2 linked regions of the Alligator mississippiensis genome follow. Each later gene encodes a partner of the first gene's protein in a complex. Links are inferred from orthologs where the notes say so. Each region holds a gene or a part of one and is shown on either strand. Other genes may lie near its edges.

Region 1 (10,240 bases):
TCCAAACCAGCCCGTATAAATCCGTCGTCCAACACGACACTGTTAATCCAGACTCGATTGACGCAGTCAGCCCTGACACCACACAGACATCGCACCCGAGCCTGCGGCGAGCAGTGTGCTCTCCATGCAGCGCACTCTCTATCACACGTGGGGGCAGATAGTCCTCCTGACGTGTTGTCCTCCTCTTTGTGCCCTTGAGCATCTACCCCCACTTGTTTAACGCTCCCTCCCCATTTCTGCCAGTGGGCGCTGGCTTCCTCATAGCCTGCACAGAGTAGATGACAGCGCAGCGCGGTAGGAGTCCTCAGCTCGTCGCTGTTTGGGGCCAGCCCGTTAGAAAGAACATCTTCCCCTTCATTAAAGTCCCAGCGCTCCTTTCTGCCACGAGAGCAAGTGGGTGCGCCCCCAGCGAGCTGTCAGAGCTGGGGGTGAACACTTCCCTCGTCCCGGTGAGCCCTGGAGAAGGATGTCCCCGGAGTCATGTCGGACACAACTCGCCCAGGCGCTGGTGCCGACCTGAGGGCTCCCAAACCCCCAAAATGATCGGAGTGAGGGGCGAGCGAGACCTGTCTGAGGCCGATAAGTCAAGAACCGCGCACGTTTTACGCCTCTGCGCTCACTGAAAGCTTCGTGTCTCACCTCTTTTCCCAGGTATTAAGCTCCCGCAGCCAGAAGAAGCGTAAGGAAGAAGAACTCACGTCTTTTCCCAACTACTGTACAGGACGAAACAGTACAAGCTTCCCAAGTCAGAGCTGGACTTGCTCACATAGTAGACAGTGTGTTAGGTTATTTATTTATTAAACTAGAATACTGTACATGCGGCCTCTGCCAATGGTGTTTTTTACTGCCATGGGACTGTGAGACGGTTGATTTTTTCTTTTTTTCTTTTCTTTTATTTTTGGTCAGGGCGGGGGGGGAGGTGGAGGAAGCAAGTCGGAGGCAAAAAGGAAGGCTGGTTGAGTGAATTCGCTGCAAAGTCTCTGTCAGCTTCAAGTAACCCGCGATCGCTGTCCCCACTGGCATACACAGGTGTGGAGGGAAGCGGGCGAGACGTTACTCTGGGTTCCCGTTTTCTGCGTGGAAGCAAAATCCACGGCAGTCGCAAGAACCAGGCCTCAGTGTGCAGGGCCGGTTGGGGGGCTCCGCTCTTTACTTCTCCCACCGTTTGAAACCCAAACTAGCACCGCCTCGTTGGCTCTCGCTCTTGCTGGAGGGGTGCTACCGTGTTCGTGCCTCTCCCGGCGGGTCCCCAGGGTAGCGCTCTCCTTTCATTCTGCTGGTCCGGCAAGGCGGCGGCTCTGACCACGAGCCCCAGTGCTGCCGGAAGCTGCAGTCCAGGGGTTCAGTCGACAGCCCGAGCTGGGGACGCCCCTGCCCAGAATCGGGAGCCAGCAAGGCAGAGACGAGCCCGCTCTCAAGCAGTCCCTCTAGGGTTCCCGTCCATGGAGCACAAGACCCACCGATGCACCTGCTCAGCCGCTTTGCGGTACTTCTCTGCGGCTTACGACCAGTGCCACACTTCCACCAAAGGGATCTCCCTCCTGGACTGCGGCGTGGGGCCTCGAGCTGTCTCGTGGGAGAGCCTTGCTGCTCTGTTGACAAGCGCCGCCTCCATCTCGGGGTCAACCTTGGGGACGACACCCCCTGGGCGCAGTCTTCTCGCTGCCGTGGAGGGAGGCGGCAACGTTGATCGTGTCCAAGGACTGTTCTTGATGCTACGGATCCTTCTCCAGTCGGTATTTCAGCCCTCGCCTGGAGTCCTTGCCGTGTACAGCGACACCCGTTTAACAGAAACGCTTCCCAGACTCCCAGCGCTGGATCTGCCAGCGCCTTCTTTCCATAGTTCATCGCTGAACGAATTCTGGAAAACCTTTTTTGGTTATGAGAGCACCAAGCCCCAGCGCAATTACTACGCTACGGTCTCTGGCTTGAGGATTAGGTTTTCAGCTCAGAATCGCTGTCGTGTTTATGAGACATCGAGTCTCGAGGTGGGAGGGTCATGGAAGACAAGGCTGCCATCATCGCTTGTTCTGGCAGAGATGTCCCGCCTGGATAGTACGTACGATGCACCCAGACGCACGCCCCGCAAGATCACTGTTCGAATGGCCGTGTCTCATCGTACCGATCATCCTGAGAACATTGTTCCTCGTATCAGAACTGCAAGAACTTCAGCCGGCGCTTGCCAAACCTCCACGAGAAGCACTGACCTGAGCACCCAGGCCTTTATTCGTTGCTCTCCACCATGGTATCTGAGCCTCTCATCAGAGGAAGCTCTCTGGATCCTCAGCCTTCCTGAAAGAGGTTTCTGTGGTATTTTCTTTACACACTAAACCCCCCCAATGAACTGTGGTCTTACCTGCAGGGTGTAGGACTGTCGCCCCTAGAGATGACGACTGCTTCCTAGGCTGGCTCATCCCGCATCAGGATTGCTCCCTACAGCAAACTTGCCTCTCTTGCTTTTCAGTAAAACCTCAAAAAACCCACATGATGGAGCTTTCCTTCTAACGTGCTGTCGGAAACCCTCGGCAGCCACGTGTCAGGGACTCACGGCAGAATGATCAGCGATCGGGACGTTCCCTGAATCTTCTCTTCTTGGCAAATTATACTTGGATCGTAACATTTTTAGAAAGAGATCACCTGAAGTGTTTTCCTAAGGCAGGTTGGCCATATTCCATCACACCGGTCGAGTTGTCCAGTCTATAAGGACCTGACTTCGTTACAAGACTCATCCATTTGGTGTGTTTGCAAACGTGGGCTGAAATCTCGGTCCCCCGGGCCATCAGGGGCAGGCCTTCTGTTGACTCCATGGGAGCCAGGATTTCACCCTTAGGCTGCATGCTTTGGGGGGCAAAAGACCTGTGTTGCTCTTCAAGATCCTGGCATGTAGCGGCTGCCCGAGCGGCCAAGGAGGAAGGGACAGACCTAGAAGGGGAGCATGTCCCGGCAGTGCAACACACTGGTCGCAGCGCAGTATCCTGATAGCCAGGGACCGGGGAACACGCAACTCACATCCGATGTAGCTTAGACCGTGGTCTTGTCTCGGGTCTGACGGCACATCCATACATCCAACATGGCCACCTGCTCTTTATCTCACAGGGCTACGTCGGGCATGTGACACTGCTTGTTCAATGGGTGTTGGTTTTCGGCCCCGGTCTGCCTCTGCTCTGCAGGTCAACTTCTCACCGCTCGGGCCCGGGGTCAGTTAAGGAGCAATACGGTATTTCTGCAGCGACCGTTGCCCGCTGCCTCAGCCTCCCCAGGTGGGTGTCACGGCGCTGGTGTGAAATCCCGGCCTTGGCTAGCAACGGCTGACGCTGCTCTTCTCCCAGCACGCTCTCATCTGTGTTGGGCACGCATGTCCCAAACTGGGATAAAGACTGAGGCCCTTGGCTATACGGCAGCATGGCTGGCAGGGTTTGGGGCTGGCAGTGCATCTCACGTGGCCTGGAGCCCAGGGCACCCCACGGCCTGGCTCGTCAGCAGTCTCCCGTTGTGGGCAGCGGGCATCTGCTGTGCTGGCCGCACTTGGCACCAACTGAGCATGTGGCAACAGCTGATCTCCCCGAGAGCTGGTCTTTCACACCAGCGCGGCGGGACCGCCAGCCACCCACTACCTTATTCGTGGCACTGGGGACGCCGGCCAGCCATGTCATCTCTGGAGCGGAGCCGTGGGGGAGGGCAGCTGTGGGTCGCATCGGTCACGGCGGGAGAAGTAGGGTCCAAAGCCAGGCTGGTTCTGCCCCGGGGGAGACAGTGGTCCCATCCCCGCAGCTGAGGACAGTCGCTTCCCTGGTCCACGTCCGTCGGTAGTGTGGCCCGTGGTGGGGCTGTCCTCCCCGGAGAGCCTGTGCTGATTTTAAACCTATTTTATCTTCTGTGTAGATACAAGAAGGAAAAAATTAATGAATTAATAATGACACCAAATACTCCTAAATGACTTCTTTCCCCTTGAATCTTTTAAAAAGCTTTCTCTATGTGACTCCGCTTTTCCATAAGCTTTTCCGCTTGCTTGGCTTCGGATCAATCTGGGATCCTCCTCTCAGAGTTGTCCCCGGGGGGTTTCTTTGGGTTTCTTTTCTTTTTTTTTTAATGTAACAAATTCAAAAAGAAAAAAAAAGAGGGGGGGAAAGGAGAGCGGAGACACCAGCACGATGATCTGAGGAGGAGCATTCGGTTGTTGAACTTTAGAAACCAGGACAAAAATGAAATAATCTGTCACATCTACAGTCGGTGACGACATTGCGAAGCGTAACCTTTTCAAACGGATGTTTTAAATATTCATGTCTGAGTGATTGTATTAGAGCAGCAATAAAGACTCTGTAATCTCAAAACGCCAATAAAGCGTCGGAAAAGTGGCTGGTGCCTGGGCTGTGTTCACCGTGCACAGACAGCGGTGGGACCGTGGCCGGTGTCTGCCCCGGGCAGTCGAGCGCTAAAGAGGAGCCAAAAACCAGGGCTGAGAGGTGGGAACGGCAAGGGCCGCGCGGTCCCGGGGCAGCCGGACGTCACATCTGAGTCAACCCTGGGGCATGACGAGACTCCAGCCCCGCTCCCCTCGTCCCCTGTCCGGGCAGGGGGAGCAGAGCTGACTGTCTTGGCAGTTCCCGTGTCGGGGTGGCGGCTCCGTGTCCCCCTGGCAGGTTCTCACTTTCTCTGACCTGAGTGCCTCTCCCCATCCAGGCCCGGCACTGGGGGCACGTGGGACTGGGGGGCGGAAGGGAACCTAATGAGCAGTGACTTGGCAGCAATCTGTGCCGCCCGGGGCGCTGGCAGCCTTGGCTGCGGCCTGGGGGATCCTTTGCTGGGGAGTCTCCTGCCCCGGCCTGGCCAGGCTGGAAGGAGATGTCTCGTTTGACACAGGCCTGGCTTTTCCTGAGTTTCACCCGGATCGGCACGGCCATCTACACCCCTAGCCGTGCTGCTGCTCCTCCGCCAGCAGGGGGAGGGAGCGTGCAGCCTGGCCAGCAGTTGGGGCTGGGGACTGGGGAGGCCACCCTGCAGCGCAGTGCCGCGAGTGACACGAGCAGCGTCTGCGCGGCACGCGGGAGGTGAGGGAGGGACCACAGAGATCAGCGGCCAAAAAGGTTGCCCTTCCTCCCTCCACCCCCTCTATTAGGGACTGACCCGGGACAGCCCAGCTCCATCCCGGGGAAGCATTAGCGCCTTTTATTCTGGGCAGGGGAGGGACCAGACGCCTCTGCCCATAGGGTTGCGGGACCAGAGGCAGCTCCTGGCTCCAGCCCCGTGGGGGCAACTGGAAACCGTGCCCAATACCAGTGTGCCCTTCCCCGGCCCTGCCTGGACAGTCCCGTTCACCGCTCCTGTCCGCAGGGGGGCAGCGAGGGCAGCTGGAGGAGGAGGAGGAAGCACCAGCGGGGATGCCCCGAGCCCCCCAGTGATGCAGGAGTGGGGGGTCTGCGCGGGTGCGGTGGCACTGTGGGCTGGTGCTGGGGACCAGGCGTGGAGGGAGGTGGCAGGGAGGAGCCCGGGGTCCCTGGGCCTGGACCCAGCGCCTCGCCCCGCGCCTCCACGTGCCCTTCGCACCCCGCCCCTCCCCTGGCAGCCAATCGCCGCCAGGGGGGCGAGTCGCAGCCAGCCAATGGGCGCGCGGCGGGGCGCGGCGAAACCACGCGTTCCACTGCCCCGCCCCGTCCAGCGGCGCGGCCAACGGGCGCCCGGGGGTGTGTCCCCGCGGAGCCGCCCCCCGGCCAATGAGCGCGCGGGGGCGTGGCGGGGCCGCGGGAGCCGCCCCACGTGCGCGGCGGGCGCAGAGCGGCGCGGACACATGGAGGAGGCGGCGCCCGCCCGCGCCCACGGCCGGGACCTGCTCCGCGCCCCGCGCGCCGGCTCCCAGGTGGGTGCTATGCAACCTCCCCTGCCGTCGGGGGGAGAGAGCCGGGCCCCTCTTTCCGTGGGCTCTGGACCGGCTGCAAAGAGGGCAGGGGAGGGCAGGGGAGGAAGCGTGCTGAAGTCTCGGGACAGGAGCCGGGTGCGCGGCGCAGCCCGGCTGTGGCTGCGGGCTAACGAGGCCGCTGGATCAGTCTGGAGGCTGCCGGAGCGTGGGCTGGGAGGTCGCGTCCAGTCCAGCGCCCTGCCTGAGACAGGGTCAGCCCCGTCCAAACCCTCCTGTGCAAAGCACGATCCCCAACCAGAAGCAGAAAAGGGATTTGCTCGGGTCTGGGGTCTCTTGTTGGAAAGGCGAGGGCGGGCTGGGCGCCGCGTGCTTCACGCCGCTCGTTTAAAATATAGCCGGTACAGCAAGTCGTTGCCCCGGCTATAACAGTTCTCCGGCCGTGTTCGTGGCTCCAGATTCACGCCGCCGGGATTCCCATCCTAGCTTGAATCCCCCCCAGGAGCGACCGCAGGGTTTTGCTGGCAGCGGGTCCAGCCTGGCTCCTCGCTTCTGACCGCGCAAGTTGTTCACCCGCTTCACAGCCCTTTCCGTCCTGGCTCGGGCGGGCGAGCCTCCGATACAGCCCGTGGCGGTCGGCTTGTCACTAAAAGTCTGAATGCGAGTGGTTACGTGGTTACAATCGCACTTGGCGTTGGGGTAGGAGTGGGGGGAGGCGACTGAGGCTACATTTCACGAGCCAACTCTGCTCAAAAGCCTCCTCAGGCCAACGCAGATGCTCGCCGGGCCCGGAAACGGCAAGGCAAAGCCCGCAAGAGGGGTGCCGGGGACGTGATCGTTGTGAATAGCGGCAGTGTTAGTTCTTCCTCCGGGTGCCGGGTCCTCGTTAATGCAGTGCCTCGGCGTGGTGACCTTGGACCTCTTCTTGCTGTGCCGGTGATAACGGCTATCACTGCTATTCGAGTGCGACTGATACTGGACATCAGTTTCTGCATGTAGGGATCAGGAAACAGGTGGGGGTCCACGTTGCCTCCTCTGTCGGCCGAGGGGCGCAATCACGTTCTGTTGCTCGTTCTGCACCCTTCGTAGCACGGTGCCAGGCTCGCCTGTCACAGGCCGTACCCTCCCAGGACATTAGGCACGTCTACACGTGCACTTTACTGCATAGTAGATTGTTTTACTGCGCATTAAAGCATCACATAAACACTGTGACGTTATGCTAATAGCCTACTGCGCATTAAGTGTCACTAAAAAAAGCATGCAAACGTGCTCCTGCGTATTAGCACAGCCGAACATGCGTTCATGTAGCCCTGCACCTTGGAGGTACTAATTTACTGCACATGAGGAAAGGCGCATTAATGCAAGTGTAGACGCACCCATTAAGTTTAGCCTGGCAGACTGCATGTGCCGCTTAATGCAGTCCCGTGTTTTTCAGTTCTTCTCAACTCTGAATAATTTTTTGGTTCCCTTCGGCTGCTATTTGTGCTGCCTCGTGTCCTCTAGCGGGTCGCGTGCACATGCTCACGTTGCCTTCCTGCACTTGTTTCTTCAGATCCTTTGCAAAAGGTTCATGCCCCAGTTCCTTGATTTGGCCGGCAGAGTTTCCACAGGGTAGAGACCTACTTGCAGCCTGAGCAGCTGTGTTCTGCAGAGGCGAAACGATAGCCTCGGGACACTGTAGCATGGGTGGGGAAAATACCCAATGGCTGGTATTCGACTAGCAGGTGCAAATCTACCTGACTTCAGACTAGCACAGCTGCCTGCCTCTCCCTGGTACGACACCTACACGGTGCATCGTCACTGCGGGGCCCGGGAAATACGGGAGATGTCTGTGGACAGCCACTGCAACATGGCTGGAAACGGAGGGAGAGTAAAGTCACGGCTCGGTAGCGAGGAGGGAAACGGGAGGACACCGTGCCTGGTTGTGACCCTTGTTAACGACTGGCTCTTGCATTTTGTATTGTGATTTCAGGAATCTTCCCCAGCTCGCGTGCCCTCGTACGCTTGTATCTACTAATATTTTCAATTAAAAAAAAAAAGACAGACAAAAAAACCCTTTAGTGCTAGGTTTTCTGTCTGCACGTGCCCTGAGCGGTCCCTTGTGCTGCCAGTCGCCCCTCCGCAGGGTTCCTCATGGAGCATAACACACCAGCCTTAATTTAGGAAAGCATCCCAAGTATTTGTATCTGCATCTATAGATAGGTGGGTCTTCTCTGGTGGTGGAAGTGCGGGCAGGCAGGCGTTCAGGCACCACCTTGGGTGGCATTTGTAGCATGGTTCAGAGCATTGTCGGATGCGTAAAAGAAAGAAAAGTCCCTTTTAAAAAAGCTTTTAAAACTTTTTTCTTTAAAAAACGTCTCTCTCTAAACAGAGCTAACTACCGCTTCCTTGTAAAGAGCCAGGCTCTCGGACAGGTTGGAGCAGCCCGGGATGCCCACGTGCCACTATTAAATGTAGGAGTTGCAGTCTGGAACCGCTGGGTCCTTGTTTGGGTGATAGCAACACCCAAGTGGCTTTGGAAACGCGATCAAAATAGCCTTTCCGACCAGGCGGTGTATGGTAAATGGTCTGCACGCGTTCCCTGCCCCGGCCCTAGAGAAGAGCTCCCGTCTGCTGGGGTGATTGCTCCCTGGGGCCAAGGTTTGATCAACTTTCATGGATGCTGCAAAAGTCAAACGGGGAGATCCATCCTGATGTAGCCTTAGCATCCTCTCTCGACTCTCCTGGCCTCGTTCTTGGGACATCCCTGGCTGCTCAGTTTGACACGCGCATCGATTAGCAGAATCGTGATCGCTCCAGTTCCTCTGGATGGGAAACGGGCCCTGACGCTGCATTAACAAAGACTCTTTCTGCCGCAGGGTTCAGTGGACTACCCCAGCCTGGAGTTCGAGTATGGGGACACCGACGGCTACACGGCTGAACTGTCAGGTAAAGAGGCACGCGGGGAGCCGAGGCTTTTGCTGCGCACGAGTTCAACTTCGCTATTAATAGCTGCCTGCTGGGTAGACAGCGAGGCTGGGGTTGGTGGGAGATGCATATTTAATAATATCATCCTATATTAATAGAGCGCCACTCACCCCAGAGGATTGCAGAGTGCTCTGCAAACCACGCGCAGCAGAAGTGACTTCCTCCCCCGCTGAAACGCAGCCATTCGCGGGGCGGGACAGGAGAGCTGCGAACGGTGCCGCTGGTTTGGGTGGGAAGTGAAATGCGTGAGGCGTGAGGGCCTTGTAGCCAAGTTGCTGGAGATATTTGAATGCCCTGATGTCACGTCGGCAGTGGCTTGTGGTGTGCGGGGCCCTCCTCTTCCACCCCTCCCTGACCAACCTGGATTCATCCATGTCTGAGTTCACTAATCATTAGAGCACATGCACGTGCACATACACATACACGTGCGCATGGCACCTGTGGTGTCTTGAATAGTGCAAGGCGTCTGGGAAGGATTCGGGCAAGAGAAATCGGCCTCTTCCCCGATCCCCTCTCTCCTGTATGCGAAGAGCTCACATTGGTAATGTAGTTTCGTGCCAGTCTGTTACGTGCTTTGCAGCTGGAACAGGGCTGGGATCTCTGCTGGGGCTCACGCTGACGGCCGATAGTCCAGCTTTCCTCGGTTAGCAATGCGTGGGCGACGCGTGCTCTTGGCCGCGGTGGAGGGCTGAAACGGGCACTTCCAGACCCAAGCGCCAGCACAGTTACCGCTTGCAAAACTCCAGGTTCAGCAGCTGGGGGATGCAAGTGCTTGTATCCTCTCCGTAGCAGCAGAGAGAGGGCTCGTAGCATCCGCTCATCAGTGCTTTCCCCAGGCATCAGCACTCAGGGGACCGAGACGCCCATCCAGTAACCAGACGCTGCTTCATTAAACCACATCGCTACCCTTCTGCAGCAAAGATCCCTCTCTTGCTGATGCTAGATTGCAGTTCAGGTGGTCGAAAGCTCTTGGAGCAGGATCATCGGGGACATGGTCCCACGTCACAGTGAGGTCGGGCCTTTCTCTACTTTGTGTCTGCTGCTCTAGTGAAAATGCAGCCTGTGGATGTGTGGGCTCAGGCCCAGGCAGTGAAAGGCTGGGGCATCCCCTAACATCCCTGAATCTAAGGGCTCCACCATTTTTGGAGGAAAATAACAGCAAGAGAGCAGGGAACCCAAAGCACGTTCGCTGCTGTTGCATGTACGGCAGAGCATATTTGCGGCTGCTGCGCGTACAGCAGAGTCTGCGGAGATTTCGGTACGCTGGGGTGTTTCTCCTGCTTTCCAAAGCTTCGGCCTCCAGACCAGGAGGATGCCGGCGGAGGGTGCTGCACTGTCAGGCGTGCCTGTACAGCAAAAGGCAAGGTTGGCGGCAACAGCTTGGGCTTTCCCCTATGCTAGCAAGCAGAGACCCAACTCCGA
Region 2 (11,135 bases), on another chromosome or scaffold:
TACAATGTCATTACACTGTCATTATGCATTAAATCTGTCATCACACAATTTTTCCCATGTACCCCCCGGAGATGTTTTGCATACCCCAGAGCTACGCATACCACAGTTTGGGAACCCTTGTAGTAGTGCATATGATAATGGGAATCGGCTATCAATAGCAGTGAGACTAAGTTACTTTTTTATTGCACACATTGAATGGAGTGCAAAAGCATTAAGAGTAGAAAAGATGATAAAAATGTAGCTTTTTTCAAGTTATTTCAGTTTTGATAAATTTGAGTAGATGTACAGCTTTGTCGGCCCTTTGTCAATTCTGTCTCCTTAGTTGTGTACTCTATCCACTGAATGCAGAAAGGTTCTTGTGGAAAAATCAGTGTGAAATCATTAGAACTATAGTGGAACACACACTCAGAAAACACAATAATTAAGGCTGAATAAGCAAATGCCAATCTGGCATTTCCTAAAGTTTGAGCATTTGACTTTTCAACTTATATGTTTCTGTTAACATTAGTGTTTTGTACTTGAATTCATATTTTTTATGGAAAAAGTAAAATGACACACAAATGTTACTAATATATCACTGTAATAGCCACCTTTTCCTTCCATTCCAAAATGTATTCTAAACAAGTTTTCTATCCTAAATTTTAATACCAGGGCACAGACTGTTACCACAAACAAAATCTAGCAAAGAGAAGTCTTCTTTTTGCTAGCTCTGATGTTATGGATTTCTGTGAAAAGAAGCCTGGCCTGGCTTGTGTGCACACTACTCTCCCCTTTACATCACCTTAGGGGATCTAATGGATGGATTCTAGAAGAAGGGATGAGATGCTCTGAACATGGGCTGGACTCAAGATGGACATGGGCTGGACTCAAGAGACCATGTGTGAGAAGATAGTCTGATCTGCTTGTTCCTGCCCTCTCCTTCCCCAAACATGCTGCTACACTTGCTTTGACAGGTTCCGGTTGCCAGTATTCCTTTGGTAGCAGCACACACCCAGCTCTCTACAATGTTTGCAATAAGCAAATAGTCTGGCATGCTGCTCAAAGCTTCCTGAGAAACACAGGCGAGGGGATGGAAATGGTGATTATTAATGTTTTATAATTACACTCACTCCAAATGGACTTTTCATGGGACAAGAAAAAGACAAATCTAACTTATCAGCATTCACTCTATCAAAATTCAAAGGACCAGTGCAAATAGTTGAAGTATTAGAGCTTTGTTAAGAAAAAAGAAACCATCCCCCAAAAGTACCAATCCTGCCCAGAATGCCATGCAATAGAGACCTGTTGTGCATACGCAGAATGCGAGCGCAATTAATACTTCTGATGTTTGTTACTAGCTAATTCATACTAGATTAAGTTAAAGATAGGAAAAGTGGGGCTTCTCTTTAGAAAAAATTAATACATGAGAAAAAATATACATGCCTTTTAAGTTTCTAAATATTTTTTCAAACTCCTGTGACCAGAACAAGACAGGCACAAAACATAGCGAAAAAAAGTTGTGGCATGTTTACTATGTGGTGCCCGGTTTGTTCTGAAAGCAGGTTAGACATGCGCTGTATAGACTAAGATAGATGTAGATGCAGATGTAGCATGAGATTTTGTGGGCGGAAGCTTACTTCATTAGATGCTTGTTCTGATTACCCCGATGAAGAATGTCTTGCGTTCGAAAGCTTGTCTAACTCTATCCCAGCTACACAGTTGGTCCAATAAAAGAGATCACTCCAAGAAATCCTCCCCTCACATAATTTCTGGACAATCCCGGCTACACCACTACTCTTACACAACCAAATGAATGCCTTGCATTTCAAAGCTTGTCTAAATCTATCCTCAACAGTGCAGTTCAGTCAATAAAAGATATTGCCCATAACAACCCTTGCTTTTTGCACAATCCAGGCCTGTCATGGCTACAATATCCCCTCAGCGCTACCAAGTAGCCTTTGCTGCTGGGCTTGTTTGTAATGGAGGGCTGATTTTGCCCACAGTGCACCCTCAGGCTGCCCTTGGCTTCGTGCTCAGTTGGATCGGTGACTGAGGGGGCCAGTTTACCAGGGGTTTGGGGATTCTCCATTACCTCTCAAAAGCCCCTTTGCGGGTGGCTTCTGTCTGATCTTTACAAGAAGGCTGCGTCTTAAGGCCTGCCAGTCCATAGGGGCTGTCGTGCCCGCATGCCATAGTCTTGTTCTCATGGCTGCTGTGCCCATGCGCCATGGTCTCCCTCAGCCAGTGGGCTCCATCTCCACCTGCTCAGCAAGGGCCTCTCCATCCGCCTGTTAGGCAGGGGCAGGGCGCCCAGTCCTCCCTGCCCTGCAGGCCTCCTTCCATTCATGCCAAGGGCCTTCCCTGGACTGGCTTCCCAACCCCACCAGGGCACAGGGGCAGTCATAAGTGCCCCCAGGGGGCTGGTCAGCCTCCTCTGGACCCACCCTCCAGCCTTCTTTAGTGGTCTTTGCCCCCAGATCCACCCCTCCCAGCCCTTTGTGTGCACAAAAGGAGGTTGTGAAGGGAGGTGAGGGGTACACCAGCCAAATACCCCTTATGGGGCAATGGGGGCACTACAAGGGCCCACACAGGGGTTGTTTGAGCATGGCTGTGTGGGGAGTACGTGTGTCCTGCTAAAAATATCTATCTAGCAGGACACACATGCTCCCCACAGGCCCGCCCAAGCAGTCCCTTCATGGGCCCTCATAATGCCCCCATCATGCCTTGGTGTATCATTTTAATCACGGAAAAATGTGGATTTTAGGTTACTTTTTGCAATCCCAAAATTAGGGATATTGTTTCAATCAGAAAAAAACAGGAGCCCTGTTTATTAGACAGGTACTGGGAGGGAGGGGGGGGCATCTCTTCCACCCCAAGACGGCGTCTTCCCGTGGGAGGGGGGCAGGGCTTCGGGTACCCCCAACCGCCGCCAAGGAACGGGGTCGCGTCACTACGCATGCGCTGCCCCAGCGGCCCCCCCCCCCCGGCTGCCCCCGCGCTCGGGAGAGGCGCGGACAGGGTCTGTCGGAGAGGTCACCCCTCCCGTGCTTCCACTCTGAATGATCTGGGAGCGGCGCCGGGCAGGTCTCGGGGGTGGGGCCTGGTGCAGCCGGCAGGTAGCAGGGGGCGGGGCGCGCGGCCGAAGCCGCGCCTCTCTCCCCTCCCCCTTCGGGCTGTTCTCGTGCTGCCGGCGGGGCCCGCGCGAGACCCGGAACGGCCGCGCCGCGCGGGGGATGGGGCGGGCGCCGCAGCGGCTGCAGCACCCGTGACCGCCCGACCCGGCCCGGCGGGGCGCGGGGCTGGACGATGAGCTGAGCGGAGCGGGACACCCGGAGCCGCCGCCGCCGCCATGGCGCACTCGCCGGTGCAGTCGGGCCTGCCGGGGATGCAGGTGAGTCCCACGGCTCCTCGGCCCGGCCTGGCCCAGTGAGCGGGGCAGGGTTTTCCCCGCAGGCAGGCGACCTAAGGAGAAGGAGGGGAATCGTGACCTTCAGGGCCTTCTTGTGGGGGGGTACGTCCGCCCAACGGCCCGCGGGGTCGAGCCCCGGCTTGGGCGAGCCCGCGTGACGTCACTGCTCCCGCTCCCCCGACGGGGTGGTGCTGCGGGGGATGCCTGCTCCTCCCCCTGCTCCTGCTTGGTCCCGGCTTCAGCTCGCCCAGATGTTTTTGTGCCTGTGTCTGTGTATCAAAGCTGGAAAGCCTGTAAGTCTGCACAACTAGATACTCTGTGTATGTATGTGTGTGTGTGGACACACACACACACACACACACACACATATTTATCTACATCTCTAAAAACATGGACAATTGGAAAGCCTACACACACCCCTCCCCCCATATGCATGTATGTATGTGTGTGTGTGTGTATATATTTATTTATTTATTTATTTATTTATTTATTTGTCTGGCTAAAAACGTGGATATCTGGAAAGTCAGTAAGGTGTGCATGTATGTTAGAAATCCTATAAGCCTACACAGATGCACATTAACACACCCAAAACATGGATAACTAGAAAGTCCTCCCCCACACATGAACATATGTGTTGTCTGTCTGCACCCCCCCCCCCCCAATATTTGTAGATTGTAAGGCTGGAAGGGACCTTGGAAGATCATTGGGTTCAGCCGCTTGCACCTGGCAGAAAAAATAACGGGGGCAAGGTAATTGTCTAGTCTCCTCTTGAAGAATTCCAGGGTAGGTGATTGCACCACTTACGGAGGGAGATTATTTCACAGTCTAGACACCCTGACTGGACACCTGGATATATACATATGTATACATACATATATACACATGCATGCATATGTATCTGGATCTAAGAACATGGATAGTTGGAAAGACAATAAAGTGTGCATATGTGTTTGTGGCTTTCCAGCTAGCCATGTTTTTAGGTATATACATGTTATATATTGGGGTGTGTGTGTGTGTGTGTGTGTGTGTGTGTGTGTGTGTGTGTTTACAGGCTACAGCTACTCAGTATCGTAGTTATGTTCTTGAAAAATGCGACTTTAAGTGAAACCGTGTTAACCGAATCCAGTTATGTCACAGTAGTTACCTACTAGCAGGTGGCGGCCAAGCAACGTTATAACCAAACATTGCACAACTTTAAACGAGTATGTTCTCTAACAGCTCAATAACATAGAAATGAAACAGCATTAACCAGGATGATGGTAAGTCAGGAGTACCCTGTATATGTGTGCGTGTATGCATATACACATGAACATGTATAGCTATATCTAAAAACATGTATTGGATAGCTGGAAGGCATATGTATCTCTCTTCTTTCCCCCCTGCAATATATTTAAAAACATAGCTGGAAAGCCTATAAAAACATGTATGTGTACATATATAGATATGTCTGTATCAGTGTGTGACTGTAGATTTTTATAGGTTTTCTAGCTATCCAGTATGTGTTTTTTCAGACACCAGAGGTTTGAAATTAAAACTTCACATTCATGTGTCCTTCACTGGTGACTATCTGGTCAATGTGGCAGTGTGAAAATAGATAAGAAGTAATAAAGAACACGTTAAAATAGTTTGTACAACATATGCATGGCAGGGTTTGTTTATTTTTTCTCTCTTTTTTTTTAACCCTTCAGATTGTGTCCCCTCACTCCAGTCCTCCTTATAAACTGGAGATCTCTCTTTGGGGCCAGCTTCTAGGCCTGAGTGTCCGTCCATCTCCTGTACATACCTTTGAAATCACTCGTTTTTTTAAAGGAACAGTTTTGTGGTTCAGTGTGTTTGATTTTCCCTTTTTTCCAGTAATAGAAGATGTAATGTGTACTATAGACTATTTGAATGTGATGGATGAAATGGGAATTCATAAAAGGCATAAGATAAATTTATTGTTTCATAAAAAACTGCAAATTTAAAGACAATGTTTCAGATTAGGCTCGTAGGATAAACACTTACATGAGCAAAATTATACATGTATGTATTATGCTTGATGTCAATGGTAAAATAAAGCTTTTGCTTTGTAGGTAAAGAGCTCTGGATAGTATAAAGGTGGTATTATGTGAAATAATAGAGACCCAGAAACTTGTACAGTCTCTGCCCACATGCTGTAAGTGTGAATTCCTAAATTGTAAAGCCTCAATTATAACATTTAATTTGTCATAGTAGCGGTTATCAAAATTACAGGCCATCTGCAAATACCATATTTACTCAAATATAAGATGATCTCTCAATAATTAGGTTCTATAGACGCTAAACTTATAAATTTGTTATAATTTTCCAGGTGTAGAATCTAATTATTGGAGGTCTGGCTTGAATTTGTTCCCCACCCTGTGCTGCAGCAGGGAAAATAGATCTTGGGGGTCAGATAGCTGGGTGCCTCACTCTGCTTCCTGTGAGTTTCTTCCTCTTGCACCTCTTTCCCCAGCCCCACATCAGGCCCTGCTCTCACTGAGTACTTGGAAGTACTCAGAAACCTCACCTCCCCAGGCAGAGAAAGGATCCGTGTGCTAATTAACCCTGACACAACTAGAACTAGGTGTTCTTGTTGGGAGTCCTGGGATCCTCCAAAATTTATGTGAAGTTGAGGCAGAAGGCAACATGGTTCAACTTCACCTTATGGAGGATAGGGCCATGCTAATATACAGCAAGCTGAGAGAGGGGGTGACAGGGAATCTGGGTGAACTGTTTGGGCCCTGTTTGGTGATGTTTGCCAGATATTTAAGGCTGGTGAAGAAACAGATAATTGGAAATGGGAAAGAAAGGGGCAACTCAGTTGTGGGAGTGAAGAGTAAAAAGCATGCAGTGTAGTGGCTCACCAAATACAGTCCCCATCAGTGCTGACTGTGCTCGGTGGGGCGCTAGTAAATGTTATTGAGATGGGTTGTGGTAACTCATCCTCAGCCTTTTTGGCTAAGTTCAAATATAGCATTTTTGGCACCAAAGGTCACGGCTGGCTCTGGCCCTCCTGGTGCCAGCCTGGTATTGCAGTACCTTTAAGCCCAGTGCCAGTTTCTTGTGGAGGGAACACACAACCACACGGTTCCCATGAGCATGTTTGTCCAATGTGGGCCATGTGTTTTATAGTCATGCTCAGTGTTGGCTGCATTTAATCAGCTTCATAGCTGGATTCCATTACTGAGCCTATACTGCTTTTGGCAGCAGTTCAGTGATAGGCAATATATTTAATGAGGTTTACTTGTATGTGAATGTAAGATGAGGGGCTTTTTTAAGCCTTGTCTTAAATATGGTAATTTGAGGGTGAAAAAAGGCATCTACTCACGTTTGAATGATTGATTATTTTTAAAGAAGGTAGGCTTATCTTTGGTTAAAAAATGTTGCTGATTTTTCCAAGGAGAAAAACGATGTGTTTTTCCTTTTTAAATAAATAATAAATTCATATACCTCATCTTCATATCATAATGCAAAGTTTTCCTTTTAAATAGAAAAGAGGTAGCAATCAGTTTATCTTAGTATAAGTTTGCTTTCTTTTAGAGGCAAAATTTTCTGGGTAGGGAATAATGTGTGGGGTTTTTTTTATTAAATGCTGTTTAGACATGATTTTTTAAGAACAGTACAAATATTTGTGTATATTATTTTTTAGATAATATTCTTCAGTTCACTTCTTAAACCAAGTACTTGGAAGTTAAGAAAAGCACAAACTGAAGTGGTATCTGTAAATGTCCCACTATTTGTTCCTGGGAACAGACCAAGGTTTGTTTTGGGATAACTACTTGAAATCCTCAGCTCCACTGCCCTCATACCAGACCTCACAAATACAGCAGGGGAGTCTCTGCCAGCTCGAGGTGTCCTCCCTTTGGATTGTGCAGACACTTTTAGGTCCCCCTTTCCATGGAATGGGCTAGCCTGGAATACCTGCCTGGTGATCACACTGTGCCACAGGCAGTCATTAAGGAGCAAAACAACAAAATAATTTATTATATAAAGGGTTCATCCGTCCTGCTAATTCTGCCAGCCCTGATTGCTGGGGACCTAGACTCTTCCAAGGCCTGAGAAAATTCAAAGACCGTAGCCATGTTACTGCCCCCCCCACCAAGCATAGTCCCAGTTTCTCATCCAGAATCCTCTGGAAACTTGGAAACTTTTCTCCCTGGGACATCTGGCATTCCTCTGGCTGATAGGCCATTTCTCTCAAGTGCCTTTGCTATAAAGGAGTTAATTTCTCCATTGTAGGCGGACAATGCCTTGGGTGCCAGACCCAATAACATTCTGCTTATGTCTGGGAGTGGCAGTTGTTTTTGCTTTAGTGTGTGTGCTTGCCATAGCACAGTAGAATCTACCTTTTTCCTCCTTAATTAGGCATTCCTAAGTTCCTCTTATTAAACCACATTCAAAATCAGAAAAGTACCTAAATACTTTCATCATGACACCCTATAAACCTCCAAACCAAAATGGTGTTTGTGACAGCAAGTCTGAGGGGAAAAAGGGAGTCCAGGAGAGCTGGATGTATTTTATGGAGACTGTATTAAGGCTGCAGAAACAAGCTTCCTGATGCAGTGGAAGAATGAGCAGTGCAAGCGGAGACCATCCCGGCTAGACAGCAGTCTCTTTAGTGAGTTGAAACTCAAAAAGGAATCCTATAAAAAGTGGAAACTTGGGCATGTTAGTAGGGAAGAGCATGTAGGGAGAAAATGAGGAAGGCCAGAGCATGATTAGAGATGCAGCTAGAGAGGGCAAATGAATGTCAATAGTAAGAGGAACACCAAAGGAAGTATAGGTCCCTTACTGAAGGCAATCCAGGTACAGATAATGCAGAGAAGTCTGAAGTGTGTGCATTTTCTCCCTACTCCCCCATAGTGCAGCTGCTACCATCTCTTCCTGCCACACAGGCAAAGCCCCCTTCTTCCCCAAAACACCACAGAAGCCCTATGATTCTGTGACCTTGTTTACTTGCTGTCCTACTTTGTGAAGACATTACCAGATGACAAACACAGCTGGCAGCAAAGATAGGAAAGGAGACAGCCTAGAGTAGCAGAAGACCAAGTTAAAGGTTACTTAGAGAAACTAGATCTTCTCAGGTTAGGTTTTTAGGACAGGACTAGGAGCAATGGTTTCAAACAGCAGCAGAAGAAAATTAGGTTGGAGATTAGGAAGAATTTTGCACTGTGGATGATCAGTCATTCAGATGGGGTTCCTATTGAAACCGTGGGCTCTTCATCCCTGAAAATTTCTAGAAGTTAGATGGACTTTTAGCTGAGTTGGTTTAGTTAGAGATGATCCTGCCTTGAGCAGGGGGCTGGATTAGATGACTTCATGAGATTGCTTCCAGCCCTACTTTTCTATGATCCTGTGTTCAGTGTATGAGGTTTTGAATTGGGTGGTGTTAGAACCGAGCACCCAAACTTGTCTGTTTTGGTTTAAGTGATTTTCTAGCACCATTGCAGAGTGGGAGCAGGGGAATTAAATGTTTCCAGGTGTCAATAAACTGCTTAAAGAATGACATCATCCTTTTTCTCCTTTTGACCCCATGCTGCATTAACTATGTAGGTACTGACTTTTGCAACAAATAGAGGTGCATCGATATGTTGGTCCTTATCTGATCAGCACTGATAAAGGGAAAATTGACATTATCGACAGTTCGCTTTTTTTGGCTGGGGTAGCCAATAATGCCACTGATAAATGCTGCCTGCTTACGCACAGCCACAGCATGCACACAGCCAGGAATGCAGCCTGGCAGCTTGGAGACCATCATCCAGCTGGTAAGTCTGTGGGAGGGAAGGGTTGTGGGGGAGCCAGTTTGAGGCCCCCATAGGAAGGGAGGGAGTGGGGCAGGGGCTGCTGGGAGGCGGCGGAGGATGGAGTGGAGCCATGGGTGGCACATTTTGGGGGTGGGGGTGGGAGGGCGACTTCCCACTGCTGTGCGCACCACCTGGGGAGGCATGGAGGCATGTGCCTTCTGGATTTGTGCATGGGGTGATGGCGTGCAGCCTGCTGGTAAGGACCAGGGGCTGTGTTGGCCTTTTCCCGCAGGGGTCTGGGTCGGGGCTGCACTTGGGAAGGGGTGGGCAGCAGCAGTGCCAGGAGGGGAGCTACGCTGGATTTTGGGGTGACTGTAGCCCACTCCGTAGCCCCTCCTCCCAGTGCTGCCCTCCCTGAGCACAGCTCTGGCCTACGCCTCCTGCCAGTAAGAGGCAGGCGCGGCCCCTGGCCATGAGCCCACAACAGGCAGCCTCTCCTCATCCCTGCACAAATTGGGGGGACACATGCCCCTCATACCTCGTCCCCCCTCATCACTGACTCCAAGATGAACATGGGCCGACAGTGCGAGGTCACAGTCGGCAGGGCTAACTGGACCTTATCGTGCATCCACAGGTGCATCTCAAGTAGGTCCAAGGAGGTGATCCTCCCCCTGTACGTGACGCTGGTCAGACCACAGCTGGAGTACTGTGTCCAGTTCTGGGCACCCCCTTCAAGAGGGATATGGACAACATTGAGAGGGTCCAGAGGAGGGCCACCCGCATGATCCAGGGACAGCTGGGCAGACCCTACAATGAGAGGCTACGGGACCTGAACCTGTTCAGCCTTCACAAGAGAAGGCTGAGCGGGGACCTGGTGACCGTTTATAAACTCACTGGGGGGGACCAGAAGGGTTTGGGGGAGACCTTGTTTCCCCTAGCGCCTCCCGGGATAACAAGGAATAACGGCCACAAGTTGTTGGAGAGTAGGTTTAGATTAGACATCTGTAAGAACTACTTCACAGTTAGGGCGGCTAGGATCTGGAACCAACTTCCAAGGGAAGTGGTGCTGGCTCCTACCCTGGGGGTCTTTAAGAAGAGGCTTGATGTCTACCTGGCTGGGGTCATTTGAGCCCATTTTTCTTCCTGCCCAGGCAGGGGGTCGAACTTGAAGATCTACAAGGTCCCTTCTGACCCTACTTCTATGATTCTATGATATAGCTTGTATGTATGGCTGGTAAGGGGGTATGAGCTAGAACTGGAGTAGGAGTGCAGGTTTGGCTTGAATGTGTATCTAATATACAGCAGATTCTGATTGACTCGTCTTCAAAATTAATCATCAGTATGCTTCTTTCTAGTCTCCTTCCTTTCTATTTATGTGGTTTTTGCACCTAGTGGGCTGAGAGAGCTTCTTTCTTACTTGCCTTTGGAAGTTTTGGGAGGCTTGTTCAGTAAAAAGTCCATAGGAATCTACTGAGTAAAGCCCTAGCAATTTTATCTTTGGAGCTGTACTCTATTGTAACTCAAGACCTTACATCAGGGGTCAGTAGTTTGAGAGTGGGGGTGCTGCTTGAACAGATCTTAGTGTTGAGTTTGGGCTGCTTCCACCCTAGTTCACACTGCTGCTGTCACTGCTCTCCCCCCACTGCCACAGTGCTGCTGCTACCATCTCTTCTTGCCACACAGGTGAAAGCCTCGTTCTCCCTCAAAACACCACTGAAGCCCCATGACACTGTGGGCCAGGTAAAATGGCTCCATGGGCCAGGCCTGCAGGTTCCAGGTTGGCGGCCCCCCCCTCCCCCCCTGCAGCTATATGGAAGCTGTTTATCTTGGTTTTGATTTCAGCAGCAAAATAAATATCTCAGCTATGTGGCAGCAGCGGTGCCAACTTTCACTGGCCAAAGGACAGTAGTACTGAGTAAGTAATGTGCTATGGGCAACACCAGATTCTTCTTTCCCTATCAACCTCAGTTTGAACTTCTTATTTTCCTGTGACAGCAAGCAGC

Evidence for each region.
Region 2: STRIP2 (region 1) and STK24 share a complex: the UniProt entries of both Homo sapiens proteins name them as parts of the core of STRIPAK complex. The link is inferred for Alligator mississippiensis from reciprocal best matches to the Homo sapiens genes STRIP2 and STK24.

The regions. Positions count from the first base shown.
Region 1 is NC_081827.1:5,104,847-5,115,086, forward strand, and holds the start of STRIP2 (striatin-interacting protein 2), read left to right. Parts: upstream 1-5,756; 5' UTR 5,757-5,785; coding exon 5,786-5,854; intron 5,855-8,709; coding exon 8,710-8,779; intron 8,780-10,240. Other genes in the region: AHCYL2 (adenosylhomocysteinase 3), read left to right, coding at 652-658. UniProt on the Homo sapiens protein: Plays a role in the regulation of cell morphology and cytoskeletal organization. Required in the control of cell shape. Calmodulin-binding scaffolding protein which is the center of the striatin-interacting phosphatase and kinase (STRIPAK) complexes.
Region 2 is NC_081824.1:365,299,007-365,310,141, forward strand, and holds the start of STK24 (serine/threonine-protein kinase 24), read left to right. Parts: upstream 1-7,051; 5' UTR 7,052-7,147; intron 7,148-8,941; 5' UTR 8,942-9,060; coding exon 9,061-9,153; intron 9,154-11,135. UniProt on the Homo sapiens protein: Serine/threonine-protein kinase that acts on both serine and threonine residues and promotes apoptosis in response to stress stimuli and caspase activation.